Linked DNA regions of Rattus norvegicus. The protein of the gene in region 1 interacts with the protein of each later gene in a pairwise test. Links are inferred from orthologs where the notes say so. Each region holds a gene or a part of one and is shown in the gene's direction. Other genes may lie near its edges.

The links.
Region 2: the proteins of Arl6ip1 (region 1) and Shmt2 interact in binary tests that used the Homo sapiens proteins (3 or more experiments, as listed by UniProt). The two-hybrid records come from large-scale screens. The link is inferred for Rattus norvegicus from reciprocal best matches to the Homo sapiens genes ARL6IP1 and SHMT2.
Region 3: the proteins of Arl6ip1 (region 1) and Ndrg4 interact in binary tests that used the Homo sapiens proteins (3 or more experiments, as listed by UniProt). The two-hybrid records come from large-scale screens. The link is inferred for Rattus norvegicus from reciprocal best matches to the Homo sapiens genes ARL6IP1 and NDRG4.

Annotation. Positions count from the first base shown.
Region 1 is NC_086019.1:181,870,915-181,875,945, reverse strand, and holds the start of Arl6ip1 (ADP-ribosylation factor-like protein 6-interacting protein 1), read left to right. Parts: upstream 1-1,713; 5' UTR 1,714-1,768; coding exon 1,769-1,804; intron 1,805-4,302; coding exon 4,303-4,436; intron 4,437-4,882; coding exon 4,883-5,002; intron 5,003-5,031. UniProt on the Homo sapiens protein: Positively regulates SLC1A1/EAAC1-mediated glutamate transport by increasing its affinity for glutamate in a PKC activity-dependent manner.
Region 2 is NC_086025.1:65,246,437-65,251,471, reverse strand, and holds the start of Shmt2 (serine hydroxymethyltransferase, mitochondrial), read left to right. Parts: upstream 1-1,904; 5' UTR 1,905-2,016; coding exon 2,017-2,049; intron 2,050-3,261; coding exon 3,262-3,459; intron 3,460-3,955; coding exon 3,956-4,035; intron 4,036-4,200; coding exon 4,201-4,401; intron 4,402-4,621; coding exon 4,622-4,703; intron 4,704-4,800; coding exon 4,801-4,923; intron 4,924-5,021; coding exon of another isoform or gene 5,022-5,035. UniProt on the Homo sapiens protein: Catalyzes the cleavage of serine to glycine accompanied with the production of 5,10-methylenetetrahydrofolate, an essential intermediate for purine biosynthesis.
Region 3 is NC_086037.1:9,389,842-9,395,085, reverse strand, and holds the start of Ndrg4 (protein NDRG4 isoform 1 precursor), read left to right. Parts: upstream 1-2,113; 5' UTR 2,114-2,221; coding exon 2,222-2,258; intron 2,259-5,244. UniProt on the Homo sapiens protein: Contributes to the maintenance of intracerebral BDNF levels within the normal range, which is necessary for the preservation of spatial learning and the resistance to neuronal cell death caused by ischemic stress.

The DNA of each region.
Region 1 (5,031 bases):
CAAACATCTGTAAAGGGATCCGGTGTGTCTGAAGACAGTGACAACGTGTTCACATACATAAAATAAATCTTAAAGATCTCAAAAAAAAAAAAATCCTTTTTGAACAGCCATTCAAAGGTAAGGATGGGTGAATCTCTGGTTTCTAGGCCAACCTGGTCTGTAAAACAAGTACCAGGACTGTCAGGACTACACAGAGAAACCCTGTCTCGAATAGCAAAAGAATGTATGAAGCTCAGTTTTAGCAATATTTAAAACAAAACTTTGACCCTTATTCTGAGTGAAAGAAATGAAAAGAATATTTGGGAAGAGTTCATTTGCTATGCCAAAGTTCTGAGGAAGATTAGTGTAACGGGCTTCATCATCTGACACATTTCAAAGGTCACTCCTCTTTGTGTTAAAAAAAAAAAAAAGATGTTTATAACCCTTGGGCCAATTTGCAAGGTCAGTGAGAGCTGGATTTGGACCTGGGGCTGTCCTAAATTTAATCTTAAATTTTACTTTGGGAACACCGATTAAACTTGAAGCTTTCTGAAGCAGTAGCCAAGTTACCAAGGTAGAAGTGACAGATTTTAAAAACCCTCTTTTTACTCTTCTGTCCTCTTAGAAAGTGACTTCCTGGTACCAGGTTAGCTTGGTTCAGCTGTTTTGGTCCTTTTGTTCTCAGTACTGAGGAGGCGAAGGAGGGAACTCCAGGCCTTACAATTTTCGATATGATTTATCAGCCGAGTCATAACCCCCCACCCCCACCCCCACCCCCCATAACACACACACACTCTGAGCTGCTTTGCTGGTCAAAACGTCTGACAAATTGCCCCTTTGATAGAACCACCGTGGGCCAGAAAGGACCAGGCTTATTTGGGCTCACTATGTGGTCTCTCAGGTTTCTTTTAAACTTCCAGGGACTTTAAAGAACCTGGTAATTTGCTTATTTATTTTATTTTTTAAAGAATATAAATCTAAGATAGTTGAAGTCCGTATTTAGCATGGCTTCCCCATAACACCCATTAATCAGTTCGAAGCGTTCCATCATCTGAATTGTTCCTCTACCCATCCATCCCTCCGAATGAAGCGCTCCCCTAGCTACCTGAAGTACTCAAATCAATCAAGTGAAGCGCCCCGCAAATGATTCCCCCAAAGTCTGGCTGCAAATGACGCCCTTTAAGAGTTCGTGCATCTTTCGTGTTCTCAAAACGCCTGTTAACACTGTTGGCGAAAAGGCAGCAGCATTAGGCACAGGTGCTCACATGGGGACGCTTGTCTTCCAGTCAGCAGGTGCCACGGGAACCTAAAAGCGTCCCTTGCCCATCTAGCCTCCGCATAGGATGCCACTGCGCATCCTCTACTCAGCTGAGCAGACAGGCCCCTCGGCGCCTTTGAGATACAGCAGAAGACAGGTAGGGAGTAGAGAGGCCACAAACGTTCAGGAAGATTTGGGTGAGAGACTAGCGACGGCGGTTGAACCGCTTCCTTCCGCTCCGCCTCCCGCGGGCCACACCCCTGCACTCTGATTGGCCAGAGTCTTTCAGCTCCGCGCAGCTTCACTCTCCTTTGACCTGGATTTCAAGTCATGCGCTAGCTGCCGGTTGGCCTGGCTTCCCAGAAGCCGGAGTGCGGTCTATCCAATGAGGAGCGAGTTTCGCGAGGGCTGTCGGGAAAGGCAGCGAGCCTATATAAGCGGCCTGCGGGGCGTTCCCCCCCGCGCTCGGGTTACCGTGCTGGTGTTGGGTTTGGTGTGTTCGCGCTCGTTGATAACCGTGCGTCTGGAACGATGGCCGAGGGGGATAACCGCAGCAGCAACCTGCTGGTGAGTCGCAGTGGTCAGTTTGTCTCCAGAGCTCCCGGATGGACCTCCTGGTCTTGGTGAACTACAGGGGCAGCCAGGCCTGATCCTGGGACTCCCTGCCCATCTCCACGGTGGTGGTCCTTGCTGCCGATCCCCAACGTCCCCCGGGGAGCGTGCACTACAAGGCTTGGACCGTGAGTGTGGAAATGTGAGAAGGGGTCTGTGGCAAGAAGGAACCTGGGTAGCAGGTTGGGGCACTCGGCCGCAAGGGGCCTTGTCTAGCGTTCCCGGCTCAGGCCGGAGAGACCTACCTGTTTTGCCCTCTGATCTTAATTTCATGTTTCGTAGATTATTATTATTTTTTCTTTTTTTCGGAGCTGGGGACCGAACCCAGGGCCTTGTGCTTGCTAGGCAAGCGCTCTACCACTGAGCTAAATCCCCAGCCCCTCGTAGATTATTTTTAATCATGATTCTTTTTTCCCTAAAACTTGGCGCAAGGATGGAGGGTCAAAGGGCTGCTACAGAGAATTAGTTTATCGCTGACACAGAATTTGTTGGAGTTGCTTGGTTGGAGTTCACCGCAGGAAGCTGAAAACGGGTTATGCGGAAAGGACAGTGGGAGATCCTGGCACTTGTCTGGGAACTGACGAGGGACTCACCGGACTGGTTGCAACTTTAAAATGATTAGCACAGATTTTTTTTTCTTTTTTTTCGGAGCTGGGGACCGAACCCAGGGCCTTGCGCTTGCTAGGCAAGCGCTCTACCACTGAGCTAAATCCCCAACCCCGATTAGCACAGATTTGAAGGAGCTGCAGGAGATGGTATTAAAGGAGGGCATGTTTGCTTCATTACAAGTTTTTGTTTTTGTTTTTTTAAGGCTAGGTTTTCGTGTATCCTGACCTATCGAGGTTAGCCTTGTATTTGTCATCCTCCTGTCTCCACCTCTCAAGCGCTGGGATTACAGTTGAGCATCACCAGGCCCTGTTTTAAATTTTAAACTGCACGTAGGCAAGAACGAAAGATCATTCCCCTCCCCCCGCCCTGTAATGTCATTCCCCAGAAAAGGCAGACCATATCAGAAATGAAAATAGCAATCAGATTTTAATCAGCTTTTTCACTTTTTCTGAGAGCCTAAGTGCCGACAAGTGACTTTGGGACAGTTTTGATTGTACAAGATTTTCAGTTTGTATTCGTGTTTAAATGTGAATGCCCTGTATCCTTGAATTCCCTCTACACAGACACACACACACACACACACACACACACACACACACACACAGTACATAAGCAAACAATCCAATAGAGATGCCTGCCCTGCATCCTAAATCTTACCCTACACAATACACATACACCAACAAACAATCCAGTAAGAGGATTAATTGCTGTACAGGGAAACTCCCACAGGAGAGGGCCTCTATTTCCATCAATGCAGTATCATTTTAAGGAGAGCAAGGCCATTAGTCTTATGTTTCCTGGATTTAAATATATTAGCCTCTTTGTGTCTCAGTCTCCTCATCTTAAAGTAGAGGTTGTAAGAATACCTTTTCCAGTTTGAGGAGCATTAATTGAAGTTTAACATGTAAAAGGTTAAGAATTTCTAGTGTGGGGTGACGTCAGAAGTTCTTAGTCACATATTTCATCTTTACTAAAATTAGCCTCAACCGTACTATCATTTGCATACTACTTTGTGAAAAGTTGATGTATCGGTTGAGCTTTGTGTGTTTGTGGTTCCTGGATGTTGAATCCAGGGTTCTGCACAGACTGAGCAACTGCTGGGTTCTAATTTCCTTCCTTTACTAAAGTCCCTGATAGGTCTAGGCCACAATAGCCCATGGTGAAGGTACGCTTTTGACTGGTTGTCGCATATGCAGAGAAACTTTGAGATTTAATTGAAATTCCATCATTAACAAGAAGAAGCCATTATGGAGAACTTTTAAGTGCTGAGGTCACATAATTTGGTTAGAATAGTTTTCTTTAATTCCACAGTGACTGCCAATACCAGAGTTATTCTATTATACTATTAATAGTATAAATACTATTATGTATTTAGTATTAAGGGAAAAGTTCTCCTGATGGATTTAGAAGGGCTTAAATCAATAAATTGACCAATCAACAGATCAATGCCAACCACCTGAAATGAGCAAACAGAATATTCAATTTAGTAATATTCTGAGCACTGCCTCATGGCTCTGTGGGTACATTGGGGATATTGGTTAACCATATTAAGCTCACCTTCATGAATATTGAAATACATTGTGAAACCTTGGCAGTATGATGATACATCATGGACATGTGTCCCAGTGCTAAAGTGACCATTAAAGCCTATGCTTTCTCCTGCCCACGGATTTTCATGTTTGTGTACCAAAAGTGCAGTTTTTCATGACTCACCTTGTTTAAGATAACAGTTTTGTTAAAGGCATTTTATGTGTATTTGATGACTTAGAAAGATTTTACTCACTTGAGCCACCAAAGTGTTGAGATTGGGGAAGTGACACTGTAACACTGTTGGTCATGCGTAGGCCGTGGAGACTGCAAGTCTTGAAGAGCAGCTGCAAGGCTGGGGAGAAGTGATGCTGATGGCTGACAAAGTCCTTCGGTGGGAAAGAGCCTGGTTTCCACCTGCCATTATGGGTGTGGTCTCCCTGCTGTTCCTGTAAGTGAGAGATTCTATTGCTAAATGCTCCGAGGGTTCATAGCCTATGCTTAGAGAAGCTTTTGTACTACATAATCCAAGAGGAATGCCTTTATTTCAAGCAGCTTGCCCACTTTCTAGAATTTGTAGTCCTTATGTAAAATTGTAAGTTAATACTGTTGAATAAATTCCAGACACTCAAACTCTTATTTCAACACTCTTGCTTTATATTATTTTCTACTAAATATTGAGGTCTCCAGAGTTTTTGACTATCGTTGTTTACATTAAGCACTTTTTTAACTGTGACAACATCATGCCGTGGTACCTCGAGAAAACCCTTTGTGAGGAAATTAGAAAGGAAACAGCACCATCTCTGAGAAGCTGAGGGTGAAGAGTGAACCTCTTTGACTAGGAATAATGACCACTGTGGTTCTCTAACCTTGGTTAATTTTCTTTGTTTTTAATAGGATTATCTATTATCTCGATCCATCTGTGCTGTCCGGTGTTTCCTGTTTTGTCATGTTTTTGTGCCTGGCTGACTACCTTGTTCCCATTCTAGCACCAAGGATTTTTGGCTCTAATAAATGGTAGGTGGCTCTGCATGATTAGTGTGCTG
Region 2 (5,035 bases), on another chromosome or scaffold:
AAGTTCCAGGACAGCCAGGGCCACACAGTGGAACCCTGTCTCCAAAAACAAAAACAATCCCCGACACGCCCCCCCCCAAAAAAACAACAAAACCACCACCAAACCCTGATTCATAGTCTTCCTCCAAAGCTAGGCCTTCCTTTCTCTCCCTCATTCATCTAAGTATACAAGAACAAAGTGAAGTGTTCAATGTAGTCACTGTTCAACTCTTCATGGCCCATCAGTGAGTCTCTTGTATCTCCAGGGCTAAGGCATGCCCAGCAGGCTCAATGTCTACTGAATGAACAAAGGTATAAAATGACTAAAGGAGGCCAATGGTTCTCAAAAACCGCTGCTTACTGGAATCCCCAAGAGGTATGGTTGTGTGTCTTTGAGAACCACTGAAGTAGAGGCCTTAAGATGTCCCAAGCCCGGGGTTGGGGATTTAGCTCAGTGGTAGAGTGCTTGCCTAGGAAGCGCAAGGCCCTGGGTTCGGTCCGGCACTAGGGAGGCAGAGGCAGGAGGATCTCTGAATTTGAGGCCAGCCTGGTCTACAGAGTGAGTTCCAGGATACATAGAGAACTTATGGAATGCATCTCTATATTGAGGGAATTTATTGTAATGACTTAAGTCTGTAGTCCAACTAACCCAACATCAGTCAGCTGTGAATGGAAGTCCAAGAATCTTGTAGTTGCTCAGTTCCACAAGTTACTCTTCTGTAGAAGTAGGTTCTGACAGAGACAGATGTGCTGGCAAGTAAGTGCAAGCAGTGGAAGAAGAGCGAATCTTCCTTCTTCCAATGTCCTAGTGTAGGCCTCCAGCAGAAGGTGTGGCCCAGATGAAAGGTGTGTACCACCATGCCTGGATCTGGAACTTGCTTTGTCTCAGGCTGACCTTGAACTCAGATCTCCTTGCCTCAATCTGGGATTAAAGGCGCATGTACTACCTTCCATGCCTGGGCCTAAACTTTTCATGGCCACTATGCCTCAAGATCTCCATGCCAAGATCTAGGTCAGAAACTTGTGTCTTCCAGCTTCAAGATCTGGATCATGGGTGAGCCCTCCAATTCTGGATTGTAGTTCATTCCAGATAGAGTCAAGTTGACAACCAGGAATAGCCATTACAAACCCTGTCTTGAAAAAAGCAAAAACAAAACAATGTCCCCAACTCAATTGGAGTCTTCCCTGGAGAGAACAGTATATACCCCACTCAAAGGTTTACTCAGACCAGTTTCAAGAAAGTGGGCAACGGCTGGGGGGATAAGCAACATGTAAACAAGGAATGCAACACCCATGGCGGGTGGGGATGGGGGGGAATCATGTTCACATGCAAAGTTTTATTTAATCCCTTCTACAAGCTCTTTGTGTTGGAGGCATCAAGGTGTGACAGGCTCATATGTGTTCCACTGGCTTCTAACTTCATATGTAGCTGGGTCTAACCTTGAACTTTTAATCTTCCCTAGAGTTAGAATGACAATGGAAGAAATGGAGGACCAGAGGGGCTGTTGTGCTGTAATCCGAAAGCAAGGATTTGAGTCTTTTAACAAACTATATTTGTTTCCACTGCGTGATACGTGATAGTTATTTACCTTCTATATATGTCTTGAATCTCCCAGAGGACATATACTGGCTCCTTGGTAGGCATAAACCACATGAAAACAAACAAACAAACAAACAAACAAACAAACAAACAAACCAAAAAGCACGTCTGGACAACCGGCAGGAAAAAAAGAAAACAAAAAGTCTGAAGAGCTTCAAGGAAGGACACGGAAGAGCTCTAAGTCTCTTTCAGGCAAAGCTCTTTAAACGGGGGGTGGGGAGGGGACGACAAGTATATGTGGGAAAGGATAAAGGAAAAACTACAATTCCCAGAAGGCAATTTTAGAGATCAGTGTTGCGCACGCGCAGGGAACGCCCCTTTAACTCGGACTTCACGGGGGCATTTTCTCGCGCATGCGCTCTAGAAGCAGCCGGTTTCCGACCCCGGTACTACACCAATACAAGTTAGCGGCTGGTCCTCCCGTGGCCTCCGGTGGCGATGGTACCCTTCTCTTTACTTCGGACCACTCGGGTAAGAACAGGGTTCTGGATACTGGATGACCAGTGGAAAGGCCCATCCCACTTTTTTACAAAGTGGGGTTTCTCTGGCTCCTCGCCGCACGTGTTCTGGGGCCTCGGGGAACGGATGCTTCACCAGGAAATCCCTGAGACAGCGCACGTGCGGTGCTTGGGCTCCTAGTTCTGGCGATCAGACGTCCTAGGGTCTTGTAACCGCTCAGTTAACGAGGCACTTAAGGTAAAGATCCGCAGACGCTGTGTTAGCAATACCCTAGCGAACAAGTGGGGTTCCCGGCTTCGATGCGCTAGTTGAATTTTTCCCGCTAGCTCTGAGCTATGGAGATGATGCAACCGAGCCTCAGTACTTTCATCACGCAAGGGTCCTGCTGCTTTGTGGGCAGGAAGAAGGTAGCGAGGTGCTGTGTGTGTGTATATATATTATATGAGTATGAGATAAAATTAAGATTTTTGGCTTCCTTTTGGGCAAACACTTTCGCCCTACCCCCATTCCCGCCAGTACACACCTCTTTCCAAGAACTGTTTAAAAGTTCTTCTACTTGAGTTGCTCTGGAAACCACCCTTAATCAGCCTGTGGTGTTAAGCCCTGTTAACTTGATATCTTCTCTCATTGGAGTGCTGGTGGATGGAGGCCCTGCAGGAAGTCCGCCCCTTTATGGTCACGAATATTTTGACTGCACTATAAGTGCACTGCGTGCATGCCCGGGTACTCACAGAGGTCAGAGCAGGGCTTCGGGTCACTTGGAACTGGAGTTCCAGATGGTTGTTAACTGCTTTTTGGGTGCTGGAAGATGAACCTCTGTCCTCCACAAGAGCAGCTGGTGCTCTTAACTACTGAACCATCTCTCCAGACCTTTTGTTCCTGTGTGCGGGCGACTCTGGTATCTGTGTCTCTCACCAGAATTTGGGAGACGTGGATTTCTGGAGCGCAAGCTTTGCTCTAGAGTGACTTTGCAGAGTCACTCAGGGTGATGTGGAGGGAGATTGAGAGTGCGCTGTGTCAGAATCGCCCTTTGGATAGTGATCTGACCCTTTGACTCCAGAACTAGCTTTTCCAGATGAAGGCTGGGGGTGGAGAGAGCTGACTGCTGGCTGGACCAGGCTGCCTACTCAGCCAGAGGGCTCTATCTGTACCCATGACCTAGGGCAACTGGGAGAGAAAGAGAACTGGACAATTTTTAATTAATCCTGGCTTTTCTGCCCTGAGCCTCTGCAGAGATGTGGTCAGCTGGTCTGCATGGCTGCCCGGGCCCAGCACAGTGAGGTGGCCCAGAAGCAGGCTGGGGAAGCAGCTGGAGGCTGGACGGGCCAGGAGAGTTTATCAGACAGTGACCCTGAGATATGGGAGCTTCTGCAGAGGGAGAAGGACAGACAGTGTCGTGGCCTGGAGCTCATCGCCTCAGAGGTAGGACGTGAGGGTATGGGGCAAAGAGCAAGCTTGCGAGCGTGTGTGCGTGCAGGGAACAACACGTCACCTTACCATGACTTCTCCACGCCTCCCTGTCAGACTCAAGCTTTTTTTCCTGGGCTTTTTCCCTCTCTTTACACTGTCCTCTGAAATGTAGGGCAGGACCAGTTTATGGGGCATGGGTGATAGGGAACTTCTAGAGCCATACGGCCCTGTCTCCTCCTTACCTCCTCCTCTAGTCAGAAGAGAAACCCAGAAACACAGGTTGAGTGGACGGGTGGCCCTCTTACTGGGGCTACCCGTCACGGTGGCTGAGTTTTTCAGAACGTTGCCTCTGGTCCCGCCTCAAGCCTGGCGAGGAATACAGAGCTTTTTTGTGTATCCTGTCTCAGCCCCTGCAGCCTGTGGGCTCTGGCAGGGGTGGGGCCATGGGAGTCCAGGGGAAGGGAGGCTCATTGCCTTCTGACATTGCCCCCCCCCCCCACCACCCCAGAACTTCTGCAGCCGAGCTGCGCTGGAGGCCCTGGGGTCCTGTCTCAACAACAAGTACTCGGAGGGTTACCCTGGCAAGAGGTGAGGCTAGACCAGAGGGCTGGAGGGCAGCAGCAGGGATGGCACCCCCAGTCGGAAACCTTCCCGAGCCCTGTTAGTGTTTATGGAGCAGCGGCTGCCTAGTCCTTTGCTGCTGGTCAAGGACCCTTTCTCTGCATCCTTCCTTATGTGCCGTCTCCACGCCAGATACTACGGAGGAGCAGAAGTCGTGGACGAGATTGAGCTGCTGTGTCAGCGCCGGGCCTTGGAAGCCTTTGACCTGGATCCTGCACAGTGGGGAGTCAATGTGCAGCCGTATTCAGGGTCCCCAGCCAACCTGGCTGCCTACACCGCCCTTCTGCAGCCTCATGATCGAATCATGGGGTTGGACCTGCCCGATGGGGGCCAGTGAGTATGGGCGGGCTGAATGATGGGGGTTGCTGGGCAGTAAGGACACAGGACAGGAGTTAACCATCAGGCCCTGTTCCAAGTTACATTGAGTACCCAGCATGGGGTAGGCAGAGCAATGGGGGTGAGGGAAGCTGGAACTAGTGTTGCAGGGACAGGCCTGCTAGGTGGCTGATTCAGTCAGGCTACATAACTTTAGTGAGCCCTCCCCTCTTTGCAGCCTCACCCACGGCTACATGTCTGATGTCAAGCGGATCTCTGCCACCTCCATCTTCTTCGAGTCCATGCCGTATAAGCTCAATGTACGTGTTCCAGGGGCTGGCCTCCTGGCCAGTGGGAGCTCTGGGCAGCCCTCAGCCCCTAGGAGCATTGGCTTTATCTGGCTCTCTGTCTGTCTAGCCCCAAACCGGCCTCATCGACTACGACCAGCTAGCGCTGACTGCTCGGCTTTTCCGACCTCGGCTCATCATAGCTGGCACTAGTGCCTATGCCCGCCTCATTGACTATGCACGAATGAGAGAGGTCGGTGAGGGAGTGCCAATCAAGCACTCCTCTATGCCAGGGGGTGGGGCCGGGGGCGGGGCTGGGCGGACAGCTGCCCTTACTGTATACCTATACAGGTCTTCCTCAGGCT
Region 3 (5,244 bases), on another chromosome or scaffold:
TCATTCTGTCACCACAGACTGCCCTACCCCGGCTCCCTTAATAAAGGAAGACACTAAGAGGGAGGGGTTTCCCAAAGGTGCAGGGACTAAAACTTGCTGCTTCGATCTTAACATAAGAACCTGAGTTCAAATCCAAGTCACTGAAGGGATCCGTATCAGCCCAGGAGACCCCTACGACCCAGCTCTCAGCACAAAGGACAAAGACAGCAGATAGAGGATGAGGGAGGAGGGGAAGAGAAAAAGATGTGGAGGGGGTATTGGGGGGTGACAACATGGGACACAGGACTGCCTCTGGATAGACAGGAGACAGACGTGGCCCATAGGAAAATGGCAGTTTATAAAGGGAAAGGGGGAAACCCTGTGTTAGGTTGAGCTGTTTAATTTTAATAGGGCATGTTAATTATGGCAGCCAAAGAGGGCATTTGGTTACTAGACTTCAATACTTTGATAGTTGGACCTCAGCTTCCGGAGGAGGAAGTAGTCAAATAAGGGAAAAGCTTGGCGGCTAGCTTTAAGAATGTAATCTAGTGGGTTTTTTGTTTTGTTTTGTTTTTTTGTTTTTGTTTTTGTTTGTTTGGGGTTTTTTTTTTTTTGCCTTGTTTTGTTTTTTAAGCAAGGCACGGGGAATGCGGGAGAAGGGCAAGGCCTGGCAGAACCATGTTAGAATCCCTTCAACCACAAGCAGTAAGTAACCATAAGCAGGTGTGCACCACCTGCAGCCTCAAAATCTCAGCTGCTTCCTCAGCTGGCCGTGGGGTTAATTTACTTCAGGTGCTGGCCACCTGGAGCCCAGGCCTAATGGCAAAGCACCTCCTACCGAGAGGTTTCAGAAGTCAGAAGAGGTGGGCTGGCTTCTCTTGACACTCTCCTCCCTCACAGCCAGGGCCTCAGAGATTTCCTGGTCTAGTACTTTCTCTGTGGGTCATAAAGACAGGAACCCAGAGAAAAGGTAAGGAAGGGGCCCATAGTCATCTTTAGAGCCTGAACAGAGTCTCCAGGAATCTTTATCTCGTCCCAGTTTCAGGGTTTATGATGCTTCAGGGCCTTTGACCCTCCTTCCGAGGAACCAGGACTAGACCCCAGTAGAGGGAGTTCAGGGAAAGTAAAGTCCTGTTCCTTCTCCGGCTCCTGATAACGGAGAGTGAACAGCAGAGAGGAGATTGAAGTCACAGTGTGAGTGAAACCGTCAGGGGTGCCCAGAAAGAACATCTTTAGCCAGGAAGTGGCCTGAGTTCCTCAGAAACCTTCAGGCTTTGCAAGCAGAGGAGCGTTGGCTCCTGGACCACTGAACTCCTGGTTCTCCCCAACCTCCCACGGCGTCTCCCCAGACCGGTGGGTGAGGTCGGACTGCAAGGGAGGAGAGGTCACAGGTGGCGGGAGTGGGCCTAGTTTCCCCGTGGGAGCCCAAACAAAGCCCGAAGTCTGCGTCTCTGGCGCTCCGCAAGGAACGCAGTGCAAAGAGATGGGAACCTCTGGGAGCCGGGCCGGGTGCTGCAGATTGCGTCTGGGCCAGGCCTGTGGGTCTTCCAGCAGAGCCTCCCGCCCACTCCCACAGCCCGCAACAGCTAGCGTCCAGCCAACAAGCGGGACGCGCAGCGCGGCCCACGCCCACCCACCCACGTTGGCACGCCCCCCGCGGCGCCCCGCCCCGCCCCCAGCTCCCGGGCTCGCTCGTGCGGGGAACCTGCACGGCTCGTGGGCGGCGGCGTCCAGGCCAGGCTCACGCCTCCGCGACCGTGTAGCTCGGCAGCCTGGGTGAGTCGCCGCTCCCTCACCCTTGGGATCTCCTCTAGGCGCAGCCACACAGCAGTCCCGCACCTTCTCTTCCCCGCCCCCCGGCCACCTTCCGCCCACGCGAGGGCGACGCCCTGTCTCCCAGCCACCCCTCGCCTTCTTGGCTCGGACCCCCGGAGACCACGGCTGTCGCCCGTCCGCCCGCGAGGGCTGGGGGCGGCAGGCGTCTTTGTTCACGAGGGGCCCCTCCCGCGTGGTGTCACACTCTCCCCCCCCCATCGGCGCTCACCACGGCCAGGTGGCGGCGGGTGCCTTTTGGGGTGCGCGGCTGTGCCATTGGTGGATTTTTTTAAACCCTGCTGGAGGGGGCGGCGAGCGCACCGCACTACCGGCTGCTGCTCCCGCCGCTCCCGCTCTCCCGCCGCTCCTCTCTGCGGCTACTGCGCGCCTCGCCCCGGGCGGCCCAGCGCGCTCCTCCGACGCCGAGATGAAGGTGCTGGGACACAGGCTCCAACTGCTGACAGGTACCGTGGCTTGCCGCTTGCCACTGCCGCTCTCCAATTTGGAGCGGGCTCCGGGCGCGGTGGCCCGGGTTGGAAGGGGCGCTCTCGGGTGCGCGTTCCCAGATGAGCGAAACCTGAGGCACGCCCGGCTCTACTGAGCCGCGAGCGCCGGCGTCTGGGAGGGTGGAGCGCCAGGGAGGCCCCCTGCGGTATCCCGCTAGTGGAGCTCCGATTAGCAACCCTAAGGGGAGCCCAGGAATCTCAGTCTTCAAGTATCGCACGTCCCCTGAGAAAGCAGTCCTGGGCCTCCTAGGGAAGTGGGGAGAACCTGTGTAAGGGTTTTCTGTCATGGTCAGAGCCACCTTTCTCTCTGGAGAAAGTTTATTGCTGGAAGTAGAGTCAAGTGGCCTGGGAAGATGGGAAGCTAGACTGAACCGTAATGGCTGGGGCCATCCACCTTGGGGCCACTCTAGAGAAGAAATTAGATGTCCCGCTGAGGGCATCCTGGGGCCAGTGCCTGGAATGCCTTGGCCAGGCTGGATGCGTAGAGCAGATGGGAAAGGGAGCAAGGACAGAGGCCGGGTGTCAGAAGGGTAAGCTGCTCCTGACACATGAAGTCCAGCATCAGTGGAGGCTTCCGTTCCCACTGGGCTGGAGGGGACAGCCCCGGTCCAGATCCCACTGGACCAAGCTGACCGAGCCTCTGTTAGGTGCACACCATGTAAAGTTGATGAACATATTCCAAGAGATGCCTCTTGGCACTTGGGGTCCTGCTGCTGTAAGGCGAGGAAGGGGCCGCCCCGCTGTGTGTGTACCCAGGAAATGGGATCTGGGTTAGGGATCTGAAGGGACGCAGAGATCAGAGCTGCGTTTGAAGACGGACACTGAGAGTAGAACTTTCTGTTCATGGAAAGGGAGGAGGTCACACTTCAAGCTGAAGGAGCCAAGGGTGTTCTGCATGTGCCCTGAGTGTGAGTGGCATGACCCTGTAGGGTGTGTGTGTGTGTGTGTGTGTGTGTGTGTGTGTGTGTGTGTGTGTGTGTTGGGAATGGCGGTGGGTGGAGTTATAGGCGGGAAGTAGGCCAGGTGAAGGTTTGGGTTGTGTGTACTAGCATGTATGTGTGTGAGTGTGTGTGCGTGCGTGTGCTGGGATGTTAGAGGAGGAAAGTAGGCCAGATGAGGGTTTGGGCTGTATGCTAAACCACAGTGGGTCACGCTGGGCTCATGGAGAAGGGCAGGCGGAGATTCCTGGGGCCTTGGAAGCCCTGGCTGGGTGTTGTTGACACCTGCCCTTCCGCTTTTCCTCATGACCGGCACCTGAAACAGAGCTTGCAGCAGGTTCACTCCCAACACTCAGACCCTAACGCCTAGAGGGCAGAACCAGGTCCTCTCGTCCCCATCTGGCCCTCAGAGGGAATGGAGATAGCCGGTGAGGGTCTGGAAATTGAGGTCCGTGTGTAGTGTGCCCTCAGGCCCTCGATGCTCCGTGGCAGGCTTCCGAGGACTTCCTCAGGACTCTGTCACTGTCAGAAGCTCCCAGTGTACCAGGCTCAGCTGTGGCATAAGCATGGTGAATTTAGGGCCAGCCTGGGCTGTGTGATGAGTTCACACCCCTTCTTGTCTCCTTCACGACCCCTCCTCCTCACCACCCCCAACTCCTTATGTCCTCTTCCTGCCTCATAGATGTGGAGTCACACTCCAGCCACAGCTGGTTGTGATTTCAAACAGGTCGTTTAACGTCCGTCTCCTTCATAAGATGGAGGTTAAACAGACGCCTAAGAGATGTTATGGGGCCTTTTGAGACAGAGCAAGTGACTCATTTGATTAGAACCTCAGAGGCCTATCTCCCCTCTGGCTGCTTTCCCTGGTAATGAAGGATTCTACCTGCCTTGGCTCATTGGCTAGTAAGGACTTGGGATCTGCCGCAGACACTCCGCGTTACCCCCGCTGACAGGCAGCAGTGAGGTTTTTTTTTTTACTCATCTCCGTGGAGTGCTGTGCAGGTAGCGGGGTGATTACTGTGGTATTGTACAAGTGCTCACACCTCTTGGCTTGGTCTAAGCTCATGCATCCTGCTCCTTGACTGTGTCCCCTGGACGATCTTGCAGAGGCCTCTGGATCCTTGCCCTCATCCACCCCTTCGAGGTTGTTTCCAGTAGTTTTTATAGTTTCCATCTTACCATCATACCTATTTGACAACGGGGTTGGCCACTCTCCCACACTTGCATGGCTGAGAGTGGGTGACGTGTGTCCTACCTGCTCAACTGTGGGCCAGACTAAACCATTCCACGCTTCGTGGGAGCATGCTTGTCAAATGTTGCCGCATCTGGTGGTGACCTCCCTTGGCCTCTGAGTTCATCCCTCAGTGCCCTGAGGGTTCCTGTCCCCTTCAGGGTATCCTAGCTCTCTTACTGGGTTCTTTGTACAGTAGACCTCTTTGAGATCTATTTCTGGGGAGCTTGGTTTGGCCTCAGTTTCCATCATACGAGGTTGGACCCTGATGTCCTGATGCCCACAGCAGGTGCCCCTCCTGTGGGGACCAGAGAATGCCTGGACCCAGTGTCCTAAAGAGAACAGAGGACAACCAGAGGTTCCAGGTGGCTCCCTGAGGCGTGGGGTGGGGGGGTTCTTGCCACAAATGAAGAGAGGCAGCAGGCAGTTTTGACCCCAGAGGATGTGAGCTTCAGGGGTCCTCTCTGCATCTCTGCTCTTTGGGCAGTGCTGAGCCCTGAGCTCCAGACTTGTCAGCAGTTTGGGATGTCGAGTCAGACCTCAGAAGTATGAAAAAGCCCGGACCAATGTCAGTTCACACACGGGTCCCTCCCAGCCCTCAGGGGCAGGCATGGCAGCTTGGTCTCCCAGCCCTCAGAGGTGGGCATGGAGGTTGGTGCAGTCGGTGGTTTTTCTTTTGCGTGTTCTGTGTGGCGGTGGGATGTCTGTCTGTCTGCAGACTGTACAGCAGCTGTTCTCATGTATTTCTACTCCAACAGTACGTTTCCAAGATGGT